3 linked regions of the Oryzias latipes genome follow. The protein of the gene in region 1 binds, or shares a complex with, the protein of each later gene. Links are inferred from orthologs where the notes say so. Each region holds a gene or a part of one and is shown on either strand. Other genes may lie near its edges. The genes, in order: vegfc, kdr and flt4.

The links.
Region 2: the proteins of vegfc (region 1) and kdr are in contact, whole or in part, in a crystal structure (PDB 2X1W), measured with the Homo sapiens proteins. The link is inferred for Oryzias latipes from reciprocal best matches to the Homo sapiens genes VEGFC and KDR. Residues at the interface, in NP_005420.1 of Homo sapiens: Thr148, Asn149, Phe151, Lys153, Phe186, Ile188, Val190, Pro191, Leu192, Gln194, Pro196; in NP_002244.1 of Homo sapiens: Val135, Tyr137, Ile215, Val216, Val217, Val218, Asn253, Val254, Gly255, Ile256, Asp257, Phe258, Asn274, Arg275, Asp276, Phe288, Leu289, Ser310, Ser311, Gly312.
Region 3: the proteins of vegfc (region 1) and flt4 are in contact, whole or in part, in a crystal structure (PDB 4BSK), measured with the Homo sapiens proteins. The link is inferred for Oryzias latipes from reciprocal best matches to the Homo sapiens genes VEGFC and FLT4. Residues at the interface, in NP_005420.1 of Homo sapiens: Leu119, Asp123, Trp126, Gln130, Asn167, Arg210; in NP_891555.2 of Homo sapiens: Gln172, His199, Asp200, Ala201, Leu202, Tyr203.

Annotation. Positions count from the first base shown.
Region 1 is NC_019859.2:6,640,637-6,649,335, reverse strand, and holds the start of vegfc (vascular endothelial growth factor C precursor), read left to right. Parts: upstream 1-2,801; coding exon 2,802-2,903; intron 2,904-8,699. UniProt on the Homo sapiens protein: Growth factor active in angiogenesis, and endothelial cell growth, stimulating their proliferation and migration and also has effects on the permeability of blood vessels.
Region 2 is NC_019862.2:257,656-265,818, forward strand, and holds part of kdr (vascular endothelial growth factor receptor 2), read left to right. Parts: 5' UTR 1-220; coding exon 221-284; intron 285-1,071; coding exon 1,072-1,165; intron 1,166-1,239; coding exon 1,240-1,436; intron 1,437-1,522; coding exon 1,523-1,644; intron 1,645-2,669; coding exon 2,670-2,838; intron 2,839-3,003; coding exon 3,004-3,143; intron 3,144-4,862; coding exon 4,863-5,034; intron 5,035-6,297; coding exon 6,298-6,412; intron 6,413-6,524; coding exon 6,525-6,694; intron 6,695-6,772; coding exon 6,773-6,923; intron 6,924-8,059; coding exon 8,060-8,163. UniProt on the Homo sapiens protein: Tyrosine-protein kinase that acts as a cell-surface receptor for VEGFA, VEGFC and VEGFD. Plays an essential role in the regulation of angiogenesis, vascular development, vascular permeability, and embryonic hematopoiesis.
Region 3 is NC_019868.2:19,015,824-19,023,986, reverse strand, and holds part of flt4 (vascular endothelial growth factor receptor 3), read left to right. Parts: intron 1-375; coding exon 376-522; intron 523-2,442; coding exon 2,443-2,574; intron 2,575-3,077; coding exon 3,078-3,184; intron 3,185-4,103; coding exon 4,104-4,239; intron 4,240-4,621; coding exon 4,622-4,726; intron 4,727-6,888; coding exon 6,889-7,002; intron 7,003-7,383; coding exon 7,384-7,472; intron 7,473-7,671; coding exon 7,672-7,831; intron 7,832-7,939; coding exon 7,940-8,034; intron 8,035-8,163. UniProt on the Homo sapiens protein: Tyrosine-protein kinase that acts as a cell-surface receptor for VEGFC and VEGFD, and plays an essential role in adult lymphangiogenesis and in the development of the vascular network and the cardiovascular system during embryonic development.

The sequences.
Region 1 (8,699 bases):
CGTGGTTAAAGATTTCCATTTCATTGCCGTGTGCATGAGTCAGAACTTTACTTTATCTTGAGGTCTGTTCAACAACTGATGATTTTTTTTTTTCAACATGTCAAGTCACTCCAGCTGAGCCTGCTCACCCTGTTGAGTGGAATGAGTAAGAATGTAAACCAAGAGTTCTTCTCTGAGTTGGACCTTTGTCATGAAAGCACAACTAGTGGCCTTTGGAATTTGAAATGTAATTGTATCCCATAGGTCTGTGATGATTCAAAACTGGCTTTATGAGTGGGCTTTCATTTGTTGAGGCTGAGCAGATGCTTTCATCAAACACCTTTAGGAAGCCCCTTGTGAAGCTATTGTTGGGAAAGTCCACATGTTGAACTCCTGCAATGACATTGCTGTTACGGGTGGCCGGCAGTGAAACCCAGGAGCAGGAAGGACTCAAACAGATCCAGGGAACTCTGGACACGAAACATGTAAGGTATGTGAAAAAACACAACTGTGTCTGATAATAGAAGAACCTAAGATGTCAGATCCAGGGAAGTCCAAGATTTAATAAGAAAAGATGCCATGAAAAGACGACAAAAATACAACAACCCATAAAGCTGCATTCACATCGCCCTCGGCAACACACTTTCAAGTGAACACGTCTAATAAAAAGTCTTTCGAGCGAAAAGTCTGCAGAAGGAAGGTGAAATTTGGAAAATCTTGAATGTGAAAGTTTAAAATCCTCTTTACTGGTTCCTATTCCATTGATTTAAACAAGCTCTCACTAAATGTTTGGATGCCCCAAACCTGTCCTCCTTTGAGACACCCGTTTAATGTTTGTCTTGGTTTTCTTATTGCACCTCCTCTGTACTCTGAGTGTGTAAAAAAACACTTGTGAGGAATCAAGCAGTTATTATCTTTACATACATAGATTATGAAGGTGCTTGATCTGGAAAGACGTCAGTAAACATTCATCAGCAAAGGACATTCAAGCCAGTAATGGTATATTGTTTCAAGATGGTTAATAAAGACAACGTTTCTTACCAAAATATTTCTCACGAGCATCACATGAATGCATGTGCACTTGTTTAAGATTCCTGTATCTTCACATTCAAAAAAATGACAAGCAATGAGAAATGTCAGTCTCATTTTTTTGCCGGTTGAAATAGAAGATGATCTCAATCTAATTTTAAGTTCATAGTTGGCCGTATTCGTAGTAATAGATATTTTGTGTTTGTTGGTTGTGGTTTTAATTTAAAGAAGAGTTTTGTGGTATTCTTTACTAACTGGAGAGTCTTTGTCTGCAGACGTCAGAGGCTCCATGAAACCTGCAAACATGTGCTTGCCTAGGTTTTGCATACAGCTCAAACTCTGTCAAACAAAACCAATTCAAGGCAACATTGCAACCTTTTCAGTCACTCTCTGATAAACATCACATTTAACATTTCCACCAGATTCAGCTTATGTTTCAGGACACATGATGAGCAAAGTCAGCCATCAACACTTTGGCCAAAGATCCCTGAAATGAATCTGTTATGAGACCTTCACTGTCAAATTTGGGCCAGCTTGGCATCCCTTAAATGCCTTCATACAGCTCCAAGATGGCACATGGCTGTGGCCAACTTTACAGATAATTCAATTTGGATTACTGAATATGATATCTCTCATTGTCAACACCAGCTTCCATGTCTTTGGGCTCCACTGAAATCTATCCCAATTGAAGGAATGATTTGGCCCACATAAAGAAAATAAGAAGGCACCAGAAAACTGTTTCCAAAAGTCCATTTGAAATCAGCAAATTACTTTTAGGACTGGAAAAAATCAGCAATGCTAGTAAGACACACCACTTTATTCTTAAACCATCCTAATATCAATCATTATTTTGATCAAATAAATACAATTTTTTTATTGTATTTATTATTGTCAATCAATCATCTGCACGGTGGAACAGTGGTTGGCGTTCTTGCCTCACAGCAAGAAGGCCCCCGGTTCAAGTCCTGGCTGGGGGACTTGAAGCAGAACATCAACAGGGGACCTTTCTGTGTGAAGTTTGCATGTTCTCCCCGTGCATGTGTGGGTTCTCTCTGGGGTTGTCCATAGGTGTGAGTGTGAAAGTGACTGGGTGTGTGATACGTGACCCTGTGACAGACTGGCGACCTGTCCAGGGTGTCCCCTGCCTTCACCCACAAGTGGCTGGGATAGGCTCCGGCAGCCCCGTGACCCCAAAAGGGACAAAACGCAAGAAGGTGAATGAATTAATTTTCACAATTTATTACAAAGCATCAGCCCATTAATATAAATATATATATATAAAACTATCACCAACCAATCAATCAATCACATATATAGAAAGTTTTATATCTTTTTTGTTCTTTTTATGTTGCTGTTGTTTTTTTTGGCCATGCCTATATCCGGCCTTGAATTGTGATGTTGAATTAAAGAAAAATGTCAAAACTGGGGTGTTGCGCAGCATTTATGGTGAGGTCACCAGGAAACTATCCTCTGGCTGCCTCCAACATTCCTCCCAGCCTCCCCTCTTCACACATGCGGGTGCTCTGAGGCTTTTATTGTGAAGGCGCATGCGGGCGGTTTTCCTGGAATCGTGCGCTCTTCATGAACGCCCGCAGTCTCCGCTGCGTCCATCCACACCAGGGTCGGTGCGCGCGCTGCAGGCTGGAGTCTTGCACCCTGATAGAGAGACAAAGAAGAGAGCTAGAGAGAGAGAGAGAGGGGAGGCAGGACGGCTCAGGCACCGTGGAGGGTTTTTTAAAATCCCCCGTCTTTATGGTTGTCGGATCATAAACACTCCCGGACTTCATATAAACATGCACCTACTGGGAATATCTCTTTTACTGGCATATCTGCTTTATTCCAACCTCGCCAGCGACTATTATGAAGACTACGAGCAGGAGCAGATGGACGAGCCGGTGAGTCCGCGGTGCGCTCGGCTTCTTTGCAGCCCGCAGCTGCAGCTGCTTGTTCTCATGAAACAGACAGACGCACCCCTTGAAGATGTGAGGCAGAACTATTACATGTTAAGTTCTGAGGGGTAAGGAGATTTGTGTTATCATTACTTTTTTTTTTTCAAACTACACATGGTAAAATAATTCTCCTCACTCACTGATCTGCAGGATCAGTTAATGATCATTTGACCTTCATTGTTCACAAGTTTGATCAAGTTTGATGCATAGATTTGGATTTTCTTTTGTAATGCGCTGTGTTGATCTGTCATATTCTCTTTGACATTTTCCTTAAATCAAAGGACTCCCAAACAGAAACAGCCAGTGTGTGACTGGGCTACTTTGTTGTAATTCATAATGGTTCCAAAAATGAGTTCAAGGAGATCAGTCAGTGCAATATTGCAACAAGTTCCTAATGAAAGTCTTGTGCTTTTATAGCACGGTTTGTTTTATGGCAAAAATGAAGACAAATCATTGAATAAAGCTTTCTGGCATTATGAGGTTTAGAGGACAATACCGTACATGTGAGATAAAGGCAGGGTCATTTTGTGGAGAACAAGTCAATGTGGCAACATTTGTGTAACGGATGAGATGAGACTCTAGAAAGTGCTTAAGTTGACCTGCTTTTGTTGTGACAGAACACTTAAAATGTTTTATAAAAACATCACAAATTTGGTTTAAACAAAAAAGAAATATATTTTATTTAGTCTTACTTAACATCTAAAAGTTATTGTCAAGACACGTCTACGCAGACCTCCACTTTGTTCTCGTCTTCTTTTTCTCCCTGCAGACTGTCTTCTGTCTTTAGATTCCAAAGTTCTTCTATTCTAATCATGCCATGCACTACAAGTTGTCACTTTTTCCTCACAAATATTATACAGATAATGATCTAATTGGCATTTATTCTTTACTAAATATTTAACTTCGACTTAAGATTTACATAAATGGGCCAATATCATGCTAAATCAAAATTTTGAGCTTTTAAGTGTATTATAATGTTCATTCCTCACAGAAAGAAACCCCAAAGCGGTATTTTGATCCATTCACGCATCTCTGAGCATTTCTCTTAAAACCTGCCTCTCTGAGCACCAGCCCCTCCCAATCCATGAAAACGAGCGGGTTCTCACATTCATACATATAAAAGTAAAAACTAGCCCCTTTCAGGAAGAGTCTGCACTGCCAGCACCGCCCCCAGGCTAACGCGAACACCCACTTTCTCCATGGAGCTAGCTGTGTTTGGGAAAAGCGCTATCCTTTTACATGCACAATGTGCACATCCGTCTGTACAAAAGTTTGGATGTTTTTGTTTTTTGTGGGTGAGACCCAAACACGCTCCAGGTTGACGTCATTACTGTAAATGAACGGCAACCACACAGAGCGAAAACCGGGGAATCAGAGATTGAGGCGTCTTAGATAGATATAGATAGATATGCCTTTATTGTCACTGTCCACTTGGACAATTAAATCACCATTACAGTGCAAAAACAAAATCTAACAAAGTATAATAAAAAAAAATCAATATGTACAATAGCTACAAAGTGTACAACGGAAGTGTGCAAATATGCAAAATGTGGAATGTGCAAATATAAAAATGTCCATAAGTGTGTGAACTTCCAGCTCGGGAAAATGACCATATTTAATAAAAAAAATCATTGTTTTGAGTGCTAAAGGTATTTTTTGCCATAAATACAGATATTGTGTACTATAAAGTAGTTAGGTTTAAATTTGGTAACAAACACTTAACCCCTCATTTATTTGACACAGAATGTATTGTATTGTTGAGATGAAAGTAATGTTACGTTTCTAAAAAGTTGTCTAAAAAGAGTAAAATGAAATCAGATATTGAGGTATTTGATATATTTCAGTTCATATTTTCATCAAGTTTTTTTTAACAGAGGGTCATAAAACTGCTTTTGATAAGCTGGAGTTTGGCCTTTGGCGTCAAGTGATGTTACAAACCAGGCAAAAAAACTACTAACGAATCAGGAAACACTTAAGCATTTTTACCATTTAAAAACAAAACTGGTTCCTCTGCTGCATTTTTTACTGACCTCTTACTCACACACAGGTTTTATTTCTTTTTTGTGTTTTGGATGAGTAAAATCTAAACCGGTGCCAGGAAGAGTCTCAGGAGAAGATGAAGGAGAAGATTGAGTTTTCCAGAATATGTGCTGTTCTTGTGAGGGATCATCTTCAGAGTCTGCACACACTCAAGTCCTTCAAAACCTTTAGGAGCTGCTGCTTGTCTGTTTTAACAAACGCTGGACGTCTGCGCCACTAAACAAGCCTTTCACAAAGGTTGGTGAAGAGACTGGATCGACAAAGACAGGGATAAAAGGGGGAACGTTACTTGGTTGCGAGTTTTGGGTGGGCCTTCGGGGGGTTCGGGATTAAGAAGGGGTATTTTCAAATTAGCTAGAGAAAAGAGCGAATAGAGACAGGTGTCACAGGGGTCAAGTGTGTGTGTGAGAGCCTTCCACAGAGGCAGGGTGAGGGAGGGGGGCAGATGAGCGCTAAACAGAGGCATTTGATCACAGAAGAGTATTAATTGGGTTGACCGGTTTCTCTCCTAACACTCTTCAAAGTTTTACTGGAAAACCTCAGCGGCTCATCTCTGCTGTTAAACCTCACGTAACATCAGGTGTCTGGGGATTAAGCATCTCGTGCACTAAACAGATTTTTATAGCAGCAGATTTGAGATAATGCTGCTGGGCATGCATGTGGACTAACTCACAGACCAAAAGAAAAGTCAGTGAGCCTAATTTTTCAAAAAGAGGTTCTCTAATGGTTTAAAGCTTTTTTTCGTTTTAAAGTTAGAAGTGGAAGCTCATACTGCGTAAATGTATTGGACTGCCACTTCTCTTTTAAATATTTTCCTCCAAGGAACCAGAAATACTACGGAACCCCTAAAGGGTCATTGAAGAAAACAAACAATTGAAGTAAAAAAAACTAACCGGTGCCAGTAAGTAACAGGTGCGCACAAGATCCCAGTTAGTATCTGGTCATTTGTGGCCTTTTGCACACTGAGGGATTTTCCCAAGTTGAGCTGATTGAGCTCATTTGAGTGTCACTTTGCTTTCGGACTTGTCTACAAAGAGATTGCAGCTTTGCTTCCTCCCCGTCACAATTATATCATCTCTGAAAGTCATCTTAAATGAGTTTTAAAGTCATGTGGTTTCTTTCAGCGCTGGGGTTAGAGCAGTTAAAATCAGGTTTTATTCAGGAAAATGTAAGATCATCCGGTAAACTCCATAGATATTGGTGGATGCATGCCAAGTGCGTTCAAAATGGGCTGCATGCAAGGATCAAGAACATGACCCACAGAGTGTTGAACTCTGGAGAGCCAGATGTCTGCATCATCGCAGTTATTTTGCAAAGTGTCCAAATTATATTTGGCATTTGGATTCTTACGACAAACTGAAGCCATTCGGTATTTGTATTAATAGCTAGTAACTGGTGAGCACCAGTTATTATTATTTTTTTTTTACTTCAATAGTTTGTTTTTTTTCTTCAAGGGGCTCCGTAAAATACAATTAGAGGCTTTTTCTTTAAACTCCGCTACTATAAGATTCATCTTCAGTCTATATTTATTGCTGAATGAGGAGATATCCATATCTTTTTAAGCCACTCTATCGCAAACCACTAGACATAGACATCATTTTGATGTACATTTGAGTCAAAGAGCATGTTTGCACAACCACAGAAATCTAATAACTGGAACGATCAGATGTGACACATTTACACTTTTCCACCTTGGAAAAAAATATCCAAGTCATTCATACAAAAGTTCATTATCAGATTTCTTTTAAAGTTTGTGTGCATGAAGAGAAGTAGGATATCTGCATTATCTCCTTTAACATCTGAAGTCGTATTGTTGCGATTAGCCATGCATCTGCTTTAAGAAGTCTCCTAACAAAATGTGCAGCTTTGGTTATGTGCTTCTTTCTCTCAGTCATACTCCATAAAAAAACAAAACAATGGTCAGCTTATTCGGACATCCGACCTTGGTCTTTTTGTTCAACTTCAGAGAACAATTTCCTGTGATTGTTTATTCTTTTTGTACATATTGAGATGTTAAAAAGCAAAATAAATCAAATAAATGAATATACAAGCAGAGATAAAATCAGATGACTGAAAGAAATATTGAATTATCTTGTATTTTAAGAAAAAGGTAATAATCAGATGTTTTATGTGAATGTAAATTGCATCTGTAATTGGTTTGAAGAAAATTGAATGTCACCATGTAGAAGGTTCCTCTTAGGGATTCCATCTGGACATTTTCAGTGGTCAGTTTTATTTGTGTCATAGTGGGTTTTTGGGAGTGCTGTGATTGTCTCTCATGGCTCAAAACTCAGATTAAAAGGTTGTTATTAATGGAAAGTTTGAGTGATTAGATTTTTTTGTTTGTTTGCAGACCATAATAATGTAAAGATGTACTACTTGCACACTCTTAACAAAACTTCATCAGCAATCAAGTACGTATCACCCATTCCGGTCACAGTTTTAACCATAAAGTTTTGATGAGTTGCTCCAAAATTTGATTATTTATTCATCAGTTTCAATCAAAAAATCTAGAATTCATCTAATTGATTTAAAAAAGCATGAACACGTTTTTGTCTTTAAACAAACAAATATAGGTTAAAAAGTTTGCTTTTTTTACCTTTGAATGTTTGGACGGCAGCCTGCAGTTTTCCTCAGACTGCACGTAGCAAAAATAAACGATTTTTTGGGGGGGGGGGGGGGGGGGGTATAACTCGAGTGATAAGAAAGACTGCAGGCTGCAGTTGAGTCATGTAAAGGGGAATGAGAACACCTATATTTTTATGAAAAATGGGGATAAAAAGACCTAAAAAATGTAGAAAAAAACAATAAGTTGGAAGAGAGGAAATTACTCAACTGACAATAAGCTTCATTGATCACTCCTGTGCTTCTTAAAATATATATCATAAGATGGCAGATCACATGTCTTATCTATTCCATGACATCATTCTAGGTATGACAATTAGAAAACAGTAATTTGTTTACACTGCAGTTTATTGTTCAGGATGAGACATACATTTTCTTTGTTACAACAAAAAAGGAAGGTGAATTTCACACAAAGTTGTCCAAAAATAACAATAAAACCAAAATATAAAACATGTCAGTAATAATATTAAAAAGAACCCTATAATGCTCCCAAATAAATTGTTCTTTGAAATGTCCTACTAAAAGGAGCCTTCCGTAGAAGCTTAGGTCTAAACACCTCCCCGCCAAGATTTACAATTTTCTTATTTGTTGTTAGGTAGCAATATATCTTTTCTGCTGCTGAATTATGTTACTTTCTCATCAGGCGGAACATTTCATTGATTATTTTTTAATTGAATGAGTTTCCAAAATGTTTTACATACTGAAAGAGTTTTGGAACTCCATTGTTTCATTTGTTGGGCCTAGTTTTCATATAGCTAAACTTTGAAACATTTTCCAAAAAAGTTACGACAAACATTTTCTCCAAACAGCCATAGAGTCAGTCGATGCACAAAACATTTTAGTGTCTCCATAAAATTGACAGTAAGAGAAATGTGAGAAGAGTTTGAGAGTAGTAGCAAAACAAAGAAATAAAAATGATTTGAGAGAACAACCCAACTGACTTGATGTGTGTGAATGATACTCAGGATGCACGTGGAAGTCGTAGCCCAGGTTTTTTTTAGGATATGTAACCCAGAAAAGATGACTCTCAATAGAGTTCTTATGTTATTTCTCATGAGCTTTTAAAGGGCATGAAAC
Region 2 (8,163 bases), on another chromosome or scaffold:
ATGCGGACACGCACATGTGCGCCTCTCTCGCAGCCGATTGTCTGAGCCTGTGGCTGTCCAGGATTTACAAACTTCGCCTAGAGTTAAAAAAAAAAAAAGAAAAAAAACCCAACAGCAACAGGACCTTTTTTTTTTTGTTCTTTCAGGGTTATCATCCCTTAACTCTCTGTGGATCATTTTCTGAACTTTTGATGAGGACTTTGGTGTCGCCTCTTGTCCGATGATGGCGCGGGCAGTTTCAGTTTACTCACTTATAATAACGCTGGACATCATTTATATTGCAGGTAAGAAAAAAATAAGAAAACGAATGATTGTTTTCTTTTGAAAGACCAGATTATGTTTTGTTGTAGATTTTCTCTCATTTTCATGTAGTGGTTTTGTTCATCTGCATCCAGCTTTTGTAACTTTTGAAAGAAAAGGTGCACAACTCCTTCCTTGTTTATTTATTTACTGCATTTGTAGCTATTTCTGTCTTTTTTAGTTGATTTCTTCTCTTGCTTTTTGTTTTTTTTATTGTGAAATGTTTGACATGTTAGTTATTTTAATTCAATTCATTTCAAGTAACTCAGATTTGAACAAAAATAACAGTTTGGCCTATTGGTTGTATCATTATTCATGAATAGAGCAAGCACAGAGTTTGAAATTGTGATGTTTGGGGTCATTTTAGACAAACAGTCCCTGGCCTCATTGGTAATTTCACCCAGGTCTTTTTTTTCTCCATACAATGCATGTTTTAAGGCCTCACAGGGAGGAGGTGGCGGGCAGCCTGTATCCTCAGAAACAGGAACTCCACCTAGGCCACACTGTGCTGAACTATTGAGCCTGACCCAACCCATCTCCCCCCATTTCCTGTTTTGACACAACTTTGCCATTTTTTGCAGGAATGGAAAAGTGACCCTATCCAAATCCAGTTCCAAAACAATCTCATTTTGAGATGTTTTCCTTTTGAAATCTGTTTCTCTTTCAAAACATATTTAATCCCAAGATCATTTGGAAAGGATTTTCTAAGCGTCATGAAGCATGGTTATGTGGGATACTCCCATCCCTGCTGACTGTGACTTGTTCTTGCAGCCATCGACCTGCGGTTCATGTCTGATCCACCAACTCTTAACATAAATGGCACACATCGGATGAACAAATCAGACAACCTGGAACTGATTTGCAGGTATGAGTGGATACATCCCGCTGCCGTTCTTTTCTTCAGCCTCCAGAACATCCAACTCCGAACTTTCTTTGCAGAGGTCGGCAGTATGTGAGGTGGTTGACCCCCCCAACAAGCACTCACTTCTCCATCAGGGACTGCAGCGGGTCAGGATTTTTCTGCTCAGCGCTGACCATTACCAATGCAACTGTCAATGAAACAGGAGAGTACCACTGCTCGTACCCAGACCTGAAGGCTGAAGATGGCAAGAAAGCAGTTTACGTCTTTGTCCACGGTAAAACTCCTATAGTTGCCTTCACCATGACGGCACTCCCACTCCCTCAGTGAACGTAAATGTCTGACGCTTGGGTTTTATTTCAGATCACAGGGTGCCGTTTGTTCCATCTGAGAAGGAATACGAGGTGGTATTCATCCGTGAAGGGGAGCGGGTAGTCATACCATGCAGAGGCTCACTAGAAAACCTTAATGTTACTCTAAACATTGTAAGGAAAAGCTATTTGTCTTTTCTCATTGTGAAATTACATTGTTCACTAGGATAGAGACATTTCTGTGGATCCTAGGCTGCAGAACAACCTAGAATGTTCCAATTCATGAAGGTTTTGTTGTGTCCACAGACACAGAGGAGAGATTCAGCCTTATAAAACACTTACTAGAGGGTCTGTGTAAAGCCATGACAACTAGTTCTGAAATTTAACCAGTGAAACATTTTGTAAGAAAGTCAAAGTTTTATCAGAGAAATTTTCAATTAAAATTAAACTCTGATCATCTTTTCATCTATTTTCAAAGTGCTCCCTTGGCCTGAATTTAGGATTTTGCCGTTTTTAGTCATAATCAGAAAACCTTTGTCATTTTGTAGGACAACAAAAATGTCAAACAATATTGAAGCTATCCAGCCATACAATTTGGAGTCCGATTCCAGCTCAGATGAGGAAAACAGACGTTCGTGGATCCGTTTGTCTGCAAATGGATGCATCAGAATGGAGCAGAGCAGCGAGCTTGTGGCCTGCCAGCTGTAGCACCTACTGTACATCACTGCTACAGGCATTTTTAAATGACAAATTTTGGTCTGCATCTGATTCAAAATTTAAATATTAGAAATGTAATTTTAAGTTTAATTTTCTTTATATATGTCATCCCTCATCAGAAAAAAGCTACAAGAACATGTGAAAAACACCAAAAACCTGATTTTCAATGGACCGGGTCTTAAAAGTCCAAATTCCTCTAGTGATTCCTTAAGTTCAGGAATTAATTAGAATTTTTATTTTTGTCTTTTTCCAACAATGTCCCAGTGTTTGTTCAGGAGGCCTTCTGCTTGCTTACATACTGTACATAGTGTCTAACAGACATTGGGGCAGTAATAGCTGCTGTTAGCAGCTTTTTGTTAACATTTACAGGACAACAAGAGGTCTGTCACGCTACTTTACTCTGTAAAAACCCATACATGCCTGATCATATTTTCCTTTTCTTTTCTTTTTTGTCAAAACCTATATATTCCTGTATCTGTCAGAAGTATCCGACCAAAGAGCTTCATCCTGATGGCAAAGACTTGGTGTGGGATGCCAAGATGGGCTTCATTGTGCCCACTCATCTTATCAGCTATGCTGGTGTGGTGTCCTGCCAGACCCGGATTGGAAATGAGACTTTCAAGTCTCCTCTGTACATTGTGGCTGTCGTGGGTGAGACTAAATCTTAAATCAGAGCTGAGCTGAATTTTCTATTGAGTGAACAAACCCAGAAAAATGTTTTTTTTCTGAAAGTGCTGTGTGTAAAAGTGGATTGCATCTGAAGTCTCAGGAGAACAATAGGCTGTCTGCCGACTGCCTTCCCTCCCTTTTCCGCAGGATACAAGATTCATGACCTCACCCTGACCCCTGTGCAGCAGAGGCTGGCTGTAGGGGAGCAGCTGGAGCTCATCTGCACTGCCAACACCGAGCTCAACGTAGGCATTGAATTCAACTGGACCCACTCGGGAGGGGCCCTGGTGAGTCTCACGCCTCACCCTCCCCTAATCCTCCACCCCCCACACCAGACACATTTTTGGTGAAAACGCTTCAGTGACGTTCATACCAGAACTCCGGGTTCTCACTTCCTTGTCTTTTTTAAAATATTTGTGACATTTTGCTTCCAAGCATCTGTCAGTTTATTGTGTGCCTCTAGGTCAAGGGTCCAACCTGAACCTCTCAAAGAGCCACTTCCATCAGTTTCCCACAGAAATGAAGGCACAGGGAGCCGCAACACTAGGGGTGTTAGAAAAAAATCGGCGATATATCGTGATAGTTCATTTGGCAATGCTTGTATTGATTAAAATACTATCAGGATATTCATTCAATTATTCATTTAATTATTTATGAGCGTTATGTTTCTTTGAACTGTTGTCCATTTTCCACAATCTTGAATAGACTTTTCTGTCTGTCAAACACCCAGAGTTAAGATGAGTGAGATGATGGAAACAAATTCACTTTGATGCAGACTCCATTCTATTTATTTATTTCTTTAAATCCAGTAAACCCAATAAATTATATTAATTTTATGGATGACAACTATTTTTTATTAGGAAGCAGCTGTTGCGGATCTGGAATCATCAGCAGTGAGTCTGAGCCCCGCCTCCGCCTCTCTACCTGTTCACATCCTCTGCAGCTCCAAGTTGTTTTCCCCCGCATGCAGCTCATGTAGTGTGTAGCTTTCCACAGAGTCCGTTGTTAGACCGTGGAACAAGTGAACAAAACAATGAAGCTCAGAGACGTGAGTCTTTCTGCCCTTTTTCAGCAGTTTTCACACTACTTCTCCCATGATGCATTGGCTTAAAGGGACAGTGTCCCAGCGCACAATGAGTTGTCCTTGTGAAACGTCTTGAAACCACAGCAAACAAACAAACAGTTTCTAAATTTTTCTAATTTAACCTTTATTTCATCTCTTAGAAAAAAAACAGCCACAACTTCCTGCTTTTTCTGCCACATTTATCACAAAAATCCACGTGAGATTGCGGGGGGGGGGGGGGGGGGCGGCTGTCGATCAATACAGACCATGAATTCCTGCTTTTTTTTTTTTTTTTGGATCGTGGTGTGCTGCGGGATTTTTGTCAAGGTTAAAGTGTGCCGTGGCTCAAAAAAGGTTGAAAAACACTGATCTACACAGACAGCGCAACATGGTCAAAGGTCAAGAGGCAGCTGAGATGTTTTAAATGCAAACATGGAGAGATGTTCCACATCAAAAAATATACAGTGTTACCTTGTTTATCACAGGGTTAGGTTCTAAAAATAACCAGCGATAGGTGAACTACAGATGTTTTAAGGATGTAAAAATCTTCACTACATACTTTATCCATGTTTCTTAGACAGAAATGAACACTTTTACAGTTTTCTCTTTTGTTTAAATTCTCAATGTTCAAACCTTCATGGAAAAAATGTCCAGTTTTATAGAATGAAAACAAATTACTGATCACAATGAATATTTATGTAAATACGGAAAGCTGAACTATTTCAGCTGTCCTTATGGCACGGAGGAGATTGATCGACAAGGTCAACAGGATGCAGAACACAGTGCACTGTTAAATAAACAAAGCATGCAAAGTTGCACTGAAAAAACATCTCAAAAATAGTGAGACCACAAAAAGTAAACCACATATAGTGAGGGAACACTGTACATTAGTTCAAGAAATTCACATTTAAACAAAGTTATTTCTTGTGTCCTGCTAACTCAGAACTCCGGGAAACTCCACACGATTCCCCACAAGAAGAAGCTGTGGAACTCTCTGGAGCTTTCCAATACTCTTATTGTGGAGAACGTGACAACGGAACACTCTGGAGAATTCATCTGCACGGCATCCAGCGGGCAGATGGATGAAAGTGCCTCTGCATACGTCAAAGTCTACGGTAGGTGCACTGGACAATTAAAATGGATTAACAAAAATGCTTTTCCATTCACACAATGTAACTGCATCAATTGACTCAGAAATAAATGAAATGATCAAGAAAATGGTTTTGACATTTCATTTTCAAAAAGTTCTCTAGTAAATGTGTACCAAAATTCAACTAGAAATATCTAAGTTGATAATTAAAATTGGATTAACAGAAATGCTTTTTCTTTTTCACAATGTAACTGGATCAATCGACTCAAAAATAAAATGAAAAATCAATCCTCCAAAATGTTTCTCTACTTGAACAGCTCCCAGTCTTTGACGTGATTAAAGCGATAATGCAAAGAGGGGATTGCACTCCCCCGGAGTGCACACCGTAACAAAACCCCCTTCCCTGCCCACAAACACGAAGCTATGAGTCCGGCTGCACTGATCAGAGTCATACTTCGCTCGCCTGGAGCAGCCGGCCGGCCGGCCGGCCGTCCTGTTTGCGCTACAAAGCCTTCCCTGGAGCAGCACACCGAGTGAACACTGACATCATTGCCCTGCCTCCCTCATGGAACAGCTGATTGGAAAGGATTTATGCAACAGTTTTTGCATGGTGGATGTGAAAATGAAAATGCAATCCCCTCTTTGCATTAATGCTTTAATTATGTCACAGAATGGGGGTGTTAAAGTGGAAAAGCATTTTGGAGGATTGATTTTTTATTTTACTTTTGAATCAATTGATGCAGTTACATTGTGAAAAGGAAAAAGCATTTTTTTAATCCATTTTAATCATCTACTTAGATACAGTATTTCTAATTGAATTTTGGTACACATTTACTAGAGAACTTTTTGAAAATGAAATGTCAAAAAACATTTTCTTTGTCATTTTAATAAAGTGACAGACTGAGCGGTGAAGAAGAAGAAAAAAACTGTTTAGCAGATTTATTTTTCATCTAATTTTTGAGTCAATTACGTAGCTTTATTGTGCAAATGAAAAAACATTCAGGTATTAACTTCTATTTTGAATGATGAGACAGAAATGCTTCCATAGAGCAGGGGTGACCTGGTCTATAATACAGCTCATGCTGGGGCACCTGACGGTTTTCCTTACTACACACAAAAGCTTGGACATAGTTTAGTGTCAATAACAAAGCATCTCATCTTGGCTGGATGAATTTATCAGTTGCTGAAGTCTTATTTGCACAGTTTTTCCTTCCATGAACTTCCATAAGATCAACATTTTCAAACAATTCAAATAAATATGAATAATTATGTTGTTATTTTCCTGCAGAAAAGCCTTTCATTGAAATGAAGGAACCCTGGCCAAAGGTCTGGGAAGTAACGGTGGGAGCTCAAGCAAGTTACCCTGTCAGGTACTCTGCGTACCCTGAACCCAGCTTTAAATGGTATGTTCATGTAGCAGTGGCAGTTTGTCATCAGTTGTGTGTCATAAACAGTTCTTTTATTACACATGAAAAAGCTGCACATTGCACATTTTTGTACCATTATTCTGTTTAGGTTAAAAGATGGCCTAGTACTTAAGGAGAGTTACAGAATCAAACAGAAGAGCGACGCTCTGGTCTTCCGTGGCGGAGTCATGGAGGCAGATGAAGGAAACTACACATTGATCCTAAGCAATAAGGTCACAAAAGAGGAGCAGAGATCCTCTTTCCAGCTGCTGGTCAATTGTATGAAAGATGACTTCTCTTCTGTTTTGTTCCTGAGCTTCTGAAAATGTCATAGTGATGATTTCTTTTTTCCTTCAGTGCCTCCTCGTATTATTGAGAAAGAAGTTCCAGTGGACATGTATTCATATGGTGGGAGCCCTGATCTGACATGTACCGCCCGTGGATTTCCCATTCCTGAGAGCATTCAGTGGCAGTGGATGCCTAAGGAAGACTGCAGGGAAACCTTTGTGTAAGTCGTTTTTGTGTGTGTGTGTGAAAACCAGTAAACACTGGATTTCTTCCTTTTTTGTTTCTGTGCCGTGATCACATGCCTCGTCATCATTTATTGTCATGAGGTTGGCAAAAACAATAGAGGTTGTTGACAAAAACAAGAAAAAAGACAATGAGGGGCACTCTGACCCTGATGGAGATCAGCGGATGTGATTCGGTCTCTTCAAAATGTTCGATTTTAGAAGACATCAGACTTTCTTGCACAAATCTTTGTTCTGTCTGGGCCAGTTGTTTGAGATCGGAGCTCCAAAGTCTGCAGCCTGCACATTTCTGCAGTGACACAACTGCCTGCTCAGTGACTCCTGCAAGGGTTGAATGGGTGTTGATAGAGAGGAGGTTTGTTCTTTCGTGCGTAAGTGGCCACTTTGACCAGAGAAGACCATGCAGCAGCTTCCTTATCTTCTGCCTGCACATCCCAGAGTTTCCTTCGTCCTGATCCACATTTCCTGTTGTTCCTGTAGCTCTTTCAAAATGAAAAAAAAAGAAAATAAAACGCCCTAGTGTACAATTTCGAAATAGAATGACTTGGTTTCAAGAAATACACTTTAAATATAGTGAACTTTCTCTTATCGGCAAAAATGATCGAAAAAAATGAGGGAAAAATTCCCATCATATTTAAAAACAAGACGACATCCCAATAAAATGTTTGCACACTGCAAAAACTGAATTGTAATAAATTAAAAAGACCATTGTTCTAATGTCTTCTTTTCTGTCTTGCGTAAAAATAATCTCATCACGAGTGTTTTTCAATAGCAAAATAATTTTATTGACTAGACCTTTTTTTTTTTTAATTACAATTCTTGGTAAGATCATTTTTCTTACCCCACTTAACTGGCAGATTTTTTTTAATGCTTATTCAAATAATTTTTTTTTCATATTTTAAGATTATATTACTTACTTCTAGAGGGGTTGTTTTTGTAGTTACCAGGTGTTATATTAAATTTACTAAGTTTATTTTTATAGCAGTTACGAAAAAATAAGTGGCAAGATTAAGAGTTGGTTAATGAACTAAGCTGAGGCTAGCCCAGTTTTTTGGAATGAATCATGAAAATGGTATTCCAGCTTGGTTTTCCGTGTCCGTTTTTATTGCATCAGGCCCGGAGTGATAAAGCCTGAGGTGGTGGATAAGTGCAAAAACTGGAGAGATATCAGCAACAGCAGTGGGTACAACCATATAGAGAGGACTACAACTGACATCG
Region 3 (8,163 bases), on another chromosome or scaffold:
AGCAGAATTACACATGGGTCAGAGCAGAGGAGCTGGAACTGAGATGCAGGAGGATTACAGCACAAACACACACACAAAGAGATGCCCACGCAGCTCCGTGCCCACATCCATTCGTGTGAAGTCAGTCTAAGGCATCTGCAAATAAATGAGAGGTGACAGAAAACAGCTGATACGCTCCAAGCAAACACTTAAGTCAAGTTGCGTGGTAACTCTGCATCACTGCCTGGAGGACAGACATAGATTTTAATGGGATTTTTCAATGTTTTTATAACCCCACCCCCACCTCAACATTGAGAGAGGGTTTGGTAAATGTCACACACATCCACGTCGGCACAACACACCACAGATTTTCTCCTGTGTGTTCTCCGCCTGCAGCCCTGGAGGCGCCGCGCTACAAACGCAGCCTCACCAACCAGACGGTGAACGTGACCGAGTCCCTGAGAATGGAGTGCGACGTGGAGGGCAGACCTCTGCCATGGCTGTCCTGGTTCAAAGATAATCAGCCTCTCCACCAAATGTCAGGTACTCAAGTTTACCACACATTCACAACAACCAGGAGAGATTCATTAGACAGCATCAACACTTCTACTTCCTGTTTGAAACTTTTCTGAAGACAAAAATAACTAGGGCTCAGAGGAACTTTAGGTTTCATGAAGAGGAAACATCAGTCCAATGCAAACCAATGGCTGACGTCACACAACCCAGTGTATCTGCTCATACAATCATGAAAAAAAGATCATTTTGTGGTAATCTTTACTTATTGATTACTTTAACGCGCAAACCCACCCCCATTTCCCATCATGCCTTTGTTTACAGTCTTTCTCGCTAGCTTACAGCCCCTCAAACCACCAACTCAAACCACCCAACACTACTGTTGCAACAAAAACGGTGAGCAATGTCAGAGCCATTCAGCTGTTTAGTTTAGAGCCAGTTGCCAGCTTAGATGAAGAAAATAAAGACGTATATGGATCTATTTATCTGCAAGTGGATTGGAACACTGAGCTTGTGGCTTGCTGTAGTAGCTTCTACGTCACACCTGTCTGCTCTTGGTTTACTCCAATTTGAAAAAAGAAATACTCAGAAATGCATTTTTAAGCTTAATTCTGTTCTTCTCTGTTCTCCATCATAAAGAAATCCCTCAAGAATTTGTAAAAACACCAAAAATACATTTTCATTGGAGTGAGTCTTTACATAGTAAAGTATATTATGATAGCTGTTCAAGACCAACTTGACTTTTCAGTGTATTTATGCAAAAAGAATAAATAAAAAACAGCTGTGAAAGAACTGAAACCAACATAAAACTGCTGTCCAACATCTTCTACTCATCACCACTCAGTTTTTCTATTCTTTAAATGTTAGGAGAACAGTGGTGTAGTGGTTAGCACTCTTCCCTCATGACTCTGGATCAAGTCCTGGCTGGTTCCTTTCCATGTGGGGCGACAGTGGCTCAGGTGGTTGAGCAGGTCGTCCAATGATCGAAGGGTTGGCGGTTCGATCCCCGCTCCCACCAGCCAAAATGTCGTTGTGTCCTTGGGCAAGACACTTCACCCTCCTTGCCTCCAGTGTGGCTCCACTGGTGTGTGAATGCGCATGAATGATCCCGGTGATGGTCAGAGGGGCCGTAGGCGCAAAATGGCAGCCACGCCTCTGTCAGTCTGCCCCAGGGCAGCTGTGGCTACAACTGTAGCTTACCATCACCAAGTATGAATGAGGAGTGAATGAATAATGGACATAATGTAAGCGCTTTGGGTGTCTTGAAAAGCGCAGATAAATCCAATCCATTATTATTATTATTATTATGTGGAGTTTGCATACCAAAAACCAGTTTAGCTCGTGCTGGTTTGCGGCGCCTTCCGTCCGTGAAACCCGGGTTCGACTCCAGGCTGCTCCCTGTTCCCTTCTCTACCTCTGCCGGTTCCAAGCCCGGTTAGAGAAGGTTGCGTCAGGAAGGGCATCCGGCGTAAAACATTGCCAAATTTACCATGCGACTTGTTCGCTGTGGCGACCCCTGATGGGAGAAGCCAAAAGTGGAAGAGTGATGTGGAGTTTGCATGTTGTCCTCACGCATGTGTGGATTTTCTTCAACTTCCTCCCACAGTCCAAGACATTCTTCATAGGTTTTTAAACTGCCCTTCAGTGTGTGAACATGAGGGTGTCTGGTTACGTGTCTCTGCGATGGACTTGAGAACCGTCCAGGGTGCACCCGGCCTTGTCTAATAGTAGATGGGATAGGCTCCAGCAGCCCCAAAAGAGTGGAAAGTATATAAATTAGGATTCACCACATATTTGATTTGCAGGGCTCCTTGGTATGAAAGTGGGATGCTGTGCCACAAAACCCTCAGAATTCCATTGGAAATACCACTGACTTTTATGGCATGAAAGCGGATGGAGGTTTCTTTGAAACTCAGCCTTATCCATCAGCATCTCGTGCTTCTCCCACAGGGATCCAGCTGCAGAATTCCAACCGCACGCTGAGCATCCAGCGAGTGAGGGAGGAGGACGCCGGTCTCTACACCTGCACCGCCTGCAACCAGCGAGGCTGTGTCCACTCCTCAGCCGCCGTCAGGGTCATCGGTGAGACAGGTTCACACATGCAGTCATCGAAGGAAAGTCAAAGGCCCTCAGGGATAAAATAAGAGTTGACCTTGAACGAGATTTCAACGTCAAAGAGAAGATTATTACTTGTTGTAATTAAAGCAACATTTTAAAATTGAAATCAATAAAATTTATTTTTAAAATTAATCACTAGGAAAATACAATTTAGAATATACTAAAGCATATCCGTGAGGACTCATTCTTTCAAGATTGTTTCATAGCAAAAACCAGTTTAATTTTTAATCTGCAAAACATCTTTAATCTGTCAATTTTGTCAAAAGGATTCAAAATTGCTCTTTTGTTGCTTTTTATTGTAAGAATGTCTCCTTTATGTCATAAAAGTTTTCCCTTTAAAGCACAAATTCTAATAACATCATTTTTACAAATCACAAAAAATTGGCTTCAGAGTCAACATGTAACTATCTTTTATGTGTTTTAATGCTCGTGGCTGTCTCCCTGTCTTATCCTTTTTGTGCGTTGAGGATCAAACGACAGGGCCAACGTGGAGATCGTGATTCTCATCGGGACCGGAGTCATCGCTGTATTCTTCTGGCTTCTGCTCATCCTCATCTTCTGCAATGTCAAACGGGTCAGAGAGCTTTCTGTTTGTGTCTCTGAGGCTGGAGTACCATCACCTATTTGAAATTGTACATAAGTAAATCATGACTGTGTAAAAAATAAAAAAAGACAGACAGGGGGACGTTACACCTGAATGTAAATCACACAACTTTCTTTTTTTAAATTTATTATCCCCGTTTAATTATCCAGCAAAAATATAAAAAATAAACAATGACAGTTGGACTAAAATGTTCAATGCAAACGGAAACCTTCAGCTTTTGCTGTATACTCCATTGAGACTTAAAAACTGGGTTTGTTTGAGCCGATGTTGCAGAGCAGCAAAGCCACTTTTTCTATCTCTGTTTTCCTCTATGGAAACAAAATGTTTAATATCATGTCAGTCCTTGAGTCGCCAAAAGTTTGCTCAGCCACTTCTGCTGTCTGCACTCCAGCCATTTTTCATTTTATTCGTCAAAAATTATTTTTTACATCAAAGATATTTTATTGTATTATCAATAAAAACAACTACTTTTTGAAAACAATCAATGTAATATTTGTGAACATCAACTTTCCTTTAAAATTAATTTCCAATAAAAGAAAACAGCTTTAAATCTCTTGGGCTGGAAACTTCATGGTTCAGATTTTGGTTTAAGTTAAAATCTTTATGTAAACCTTCATCATGGTGTATTAATCAGGATTTCCAGGCTGCAATACATTTAGCAAAAATGGTGAGAATTTGTAAAATGTGAAGGAAGATCAGGCCTTTTCGACCCATTTCCTGGATTGAAAATGAAGCTATCTGTCAGAAGATTGGGCTGCTCTTTAGAAATTGATAAGTGCTCTTTTATCCACTGACCTGTGCTTATGTGAGCTCATGCACCTCCTGTGTAATACCCACCATCCTTCAACTCATCCTGAACTCATATTGACTCTGCATCCTGTAACGGCAGGTTAACCCAGCGGACATAAAGACAGGCTATCTGTCTATTATAATGGACCCAGGGGAGGTGCCGCTGGACGAACAGTGTGAATACCTGCCCTATGACTCGTCACAGTGGGAGATCTCCAGAGACAGACTCCGGCTGGGTGAGCAATGGGGGAAAACTTGCATGGAAGTAGGAATGAAGGGATGGGTGTTAAAGGGAGGTGTGAGGGAGAGGAGGAACAGATTAGGGTAAATAAACAGATGAAATTCAATCATATTTCTGTTTTTTTTTTAATGGTATGAGTCTGGATCCTACAGCCTGCAGTGCCAAGTGCTGTCAAGTAGGGTGGTTATGTTAAAGATGAGCTCATTTCCAGAGAAGCATTTTCAGAATGCTCTGAGGAGGAGCATCTGTTTCACAGCTGAAACGTTTTAGAAAATGGTGTCATTCTTGATCCTCCTTCTTTCCCTGTCCCACTTGAGTGTGAAAGGTCTCTAATCTCAATCCTAAATGTGAAAAGCTCTCCTTTCCTCTCAATGCAGGAAAGGTTTTAGGTCACGGCGCCTTCGGAAAGGTCATTGAAGCCTCGTTCTGTGGTATCAGCAAGAGCAGCAGTCTGGATACAGTCGCAGTGAAGATGCTCAAAGGTGAGATTTACCTTCAAATCTACACCGTCTGCATGTTTTATAGGAAAAATACCTTAAAAGAAACAAATGCGCCTCAACACTAATTCCATCTAAATGTTTCTTCTGAGAGGCAAGTTTTTATTTACTGTGAGCATGAAGAAATGAAGCACAAACTAAGTTATTCTAGAGCAGTTTATGTTCACACGTTTTGTTTGAAAACATCTGAAAAATAAAGATTTATGTAAATCTGATCAGGCAAAGATTTTTTCTTCATATCAGTACGGAGTTGAGTTGATAATGCCACAAAAATGCCAAATGATCATTCTACATGAATTATGCAGGTTTTTCTCATTTTAGTAATAATATGTCCATGTATAAATGATAACAAACCTATCAAAATGAGTCAAGGACTGATGACTTTGTGATAAGTCAATGTGTAAATACAACAGGTAGCCCTGAAGTGCAAATCACATCAACAATATATCAATGATCCTGACAATTAAAAAGGCAAAACCATTAATAATAATAAAAAAACAACTTAACATTTAGAAAAATCAAAACAAAATTCTACATAAAATGACACAAAATAAATGGGAATGTTTCGAAAAAAACACATTTCCAGAAATCCAAATGAAATGTTGAAAAAAATGAAATAAAATAAGAAACTGGAAAAGGGACATGACTGATTGGATGACGCTTGTTCCCCCTTTCAACTGGAAATTGTTTGGAATTGTAACGTCTTCTGTCAGATTTCTTTAGGCTCATTGCTTCAGCCTCTGCTCAATCAACTCTTTACCACAGTTCAGCAAAAACATCCTCAGTCTTTCCCTCTTCTTCAAAACTCAAACATCATCATCCAATCACCAATGTCCCAAAGTATCTATCTTTTCCAGTTACTTATTTTATTTCATTTTTTTAACATCTGAAATTGACTTTCATCTTCTGAGAAGTTTTTTTTTACATTTTGGTTTCATTTACTTTTGATTTTTAAAATGTAATATTTTTTTCTTTTATTTGCTTTTCTTTTTTAATCGTCATTGTGATCTTTAATATGTTTTTGTGTTGAGTGATTTGTTGATAAGATTTGCACTTCAGGGCCACCGTACTTTAATGATTCTGAAGGCATCCATTTACAAATAAGGATTCAGACAGTTATTGTTTATGGCAACTTAACTATGCGTACAAGATATTTCAAAATAAAACAAGCTATGAACAGTTAAAGTCAGACAGAAGAAAAGTTTTCTTATTAAGTCTGCTCCTTCTACAAGGAGCAACAACAACAAATAAACTGTAATTCTTTCCAAAAACATATCCAAGTCACTAATTTACACTTTGAGCTAACCTAACTGCTTCCCATCAGTCTTTTGACCGTAAACATTTTTATTATTTAATTGTGTTTGTGCCTTGTCTGAATGTCATATTCAGTAAATTCCACATCCTAATACCATGAACTGAAATGTGCATCCATCTCCGAGTTATATACACATGAAAAAATGTTGTTTTAGTGATAATTCTAACCGCCCTTTTTTGTAATTGAAAAAAAATGGCTTTGTGTGGGTGGAACAAGCTTTTCTCCAGGAAATAGAATAAGGAAGAAGAAAACAAGAGCAAAAGAGTTACAGTTGAACAAATCCTTTTTTCTGTATAAAATTCCAATTCTTTGACTGATCTTCCTTTTAAAGCAGTTAATGTGAACTTTTCTTTATAACATTTTGTCTATTATAACTGCAAGAAATGCACTTTCTCTGACTTTTTTTATTTTGAAGCATAAAAAATATGTCCATCTTTTATTATGCTTAATTTAAACATGTTCTTAAAACTGCACAAACATATCAAGAGAAAAAATAAAATAAATATGAGTTTCTTTCTGTTGAGCACGGTAGAGGCAGGATCATAGTTTGGATAGACTTGTTTTTATTTTATTTTTTAATGGTGTAAAACCTACCAGAAGTACATACTGGTCTGCAGTGTATTTTTGTGTGTTAACTTTGTATAATTATCGTCCGACTCATAAGATATCCGTCACACATGGCACAGCCGTTCATCTCTGATCTATGTTTTGTTCTGAGTGAATTTGTATGATTGTGTGATCAAATTATGATAAACATTAAGAGGTTGCTTACCTTTTTTTTTTTCTAGCGGTGTGTGATGTTTTTCTTTGTGTATTTTTTTTTCTTGTACAGATGGAGCCACAGCCAGTGAACACAAAGCCTTAATGTCAGAGCTAAAGATTCTGATTCACATTGGGAACCATCTTAATGTGGTTAACCTGTTAGGAGCCTGCACCAAACCAAACGGTGAGTCCACTGACTTAAAACACCTCCAGCTTTGTCTTCGATTACACACATTTATGTCCTTTTGTTTTTGATAAAATCCCATTTCCAAACTGATGGACTTAACCAACAAGCAGGATTTTGGTCCAGAAAATCTTAATTTCAACAAGTTTGTTTTGAATTGAGAGATGATGAAAGCTTTTCTGTAATTTTAGAAACATGTCAATTGTCTGAAACAACGTCTTCGACAATGTGTCAATAGGATTTTCTTAAAACGTATCTTAAAAATGCTGCACTTAGGCTTTCTCAGCAGAGAGCAGGGCAGAAATGCTCTGAATGTCTGAAACATGAAAACTATAGAAAAACAGTCAGATGAAATAACATTGGAAACATGTGCATCACCAGGTCCGCTCATGGTGATAGTGGAATACTGCAAGTACGGGAATCTGTCCAACTTCCTGCGAGCAAAGCGAGAGTTCTTCCTTCCTTACAGGGTAACCAAACGCAGCTGACACTGAGACTTTGCTGTTATGTATTTAACAGCAAAAAAGTCAATTTTTCTCATTTGTGTTCTTGCATAACATTTTTTTTATGTATTTACATAATTCTGAGCCCATAAATAGCCCTGAAACAAGGAGTAGCTGGTTTGCTATCGATCTCGGAGATGATGCATCAAGACTGTTTCTTATTTAGGACCGGTCTCCCAAAACCCAGAGCCAGGTGAGGCGGCTGATCGAAGCGGGGCAAACGGACCAAAGAGCTCGTCAGCCGCTTCCTGTGCCCTCCTCCCCACCCGGCAGTCCTCAGAGCGCATCATCTAAGGCTCCTGATCAGAACTGTGCGGTTGAGAAAAGTGAGTCATGGTTACATCAGGAGTGGGAATCATTTTCATTCATAGTCCTGCTGTGGTTTTTTAAATTTTTTTAATGGCTATACTCTTTTTCTCTTACTCCCCTTACAGTGGAGGACTTGTGGAAAACCCCGCTGACAATAGAAGATTTAATTTGCTACAGCTTTCAGGTGGCACGTGGGATGGAGTTCCTGGCTTCCAGAAAGGTTATTTGTCGAAAATTATTAAATAAACTGAGAAATCTTAATGTGCGAGACACAGAGGAAGTTAGCTGGAGTCCCGACAATCAATCAGTGGGGAGTTTTCTTTAACTGTAGACTGTCTTCTCTATGTAT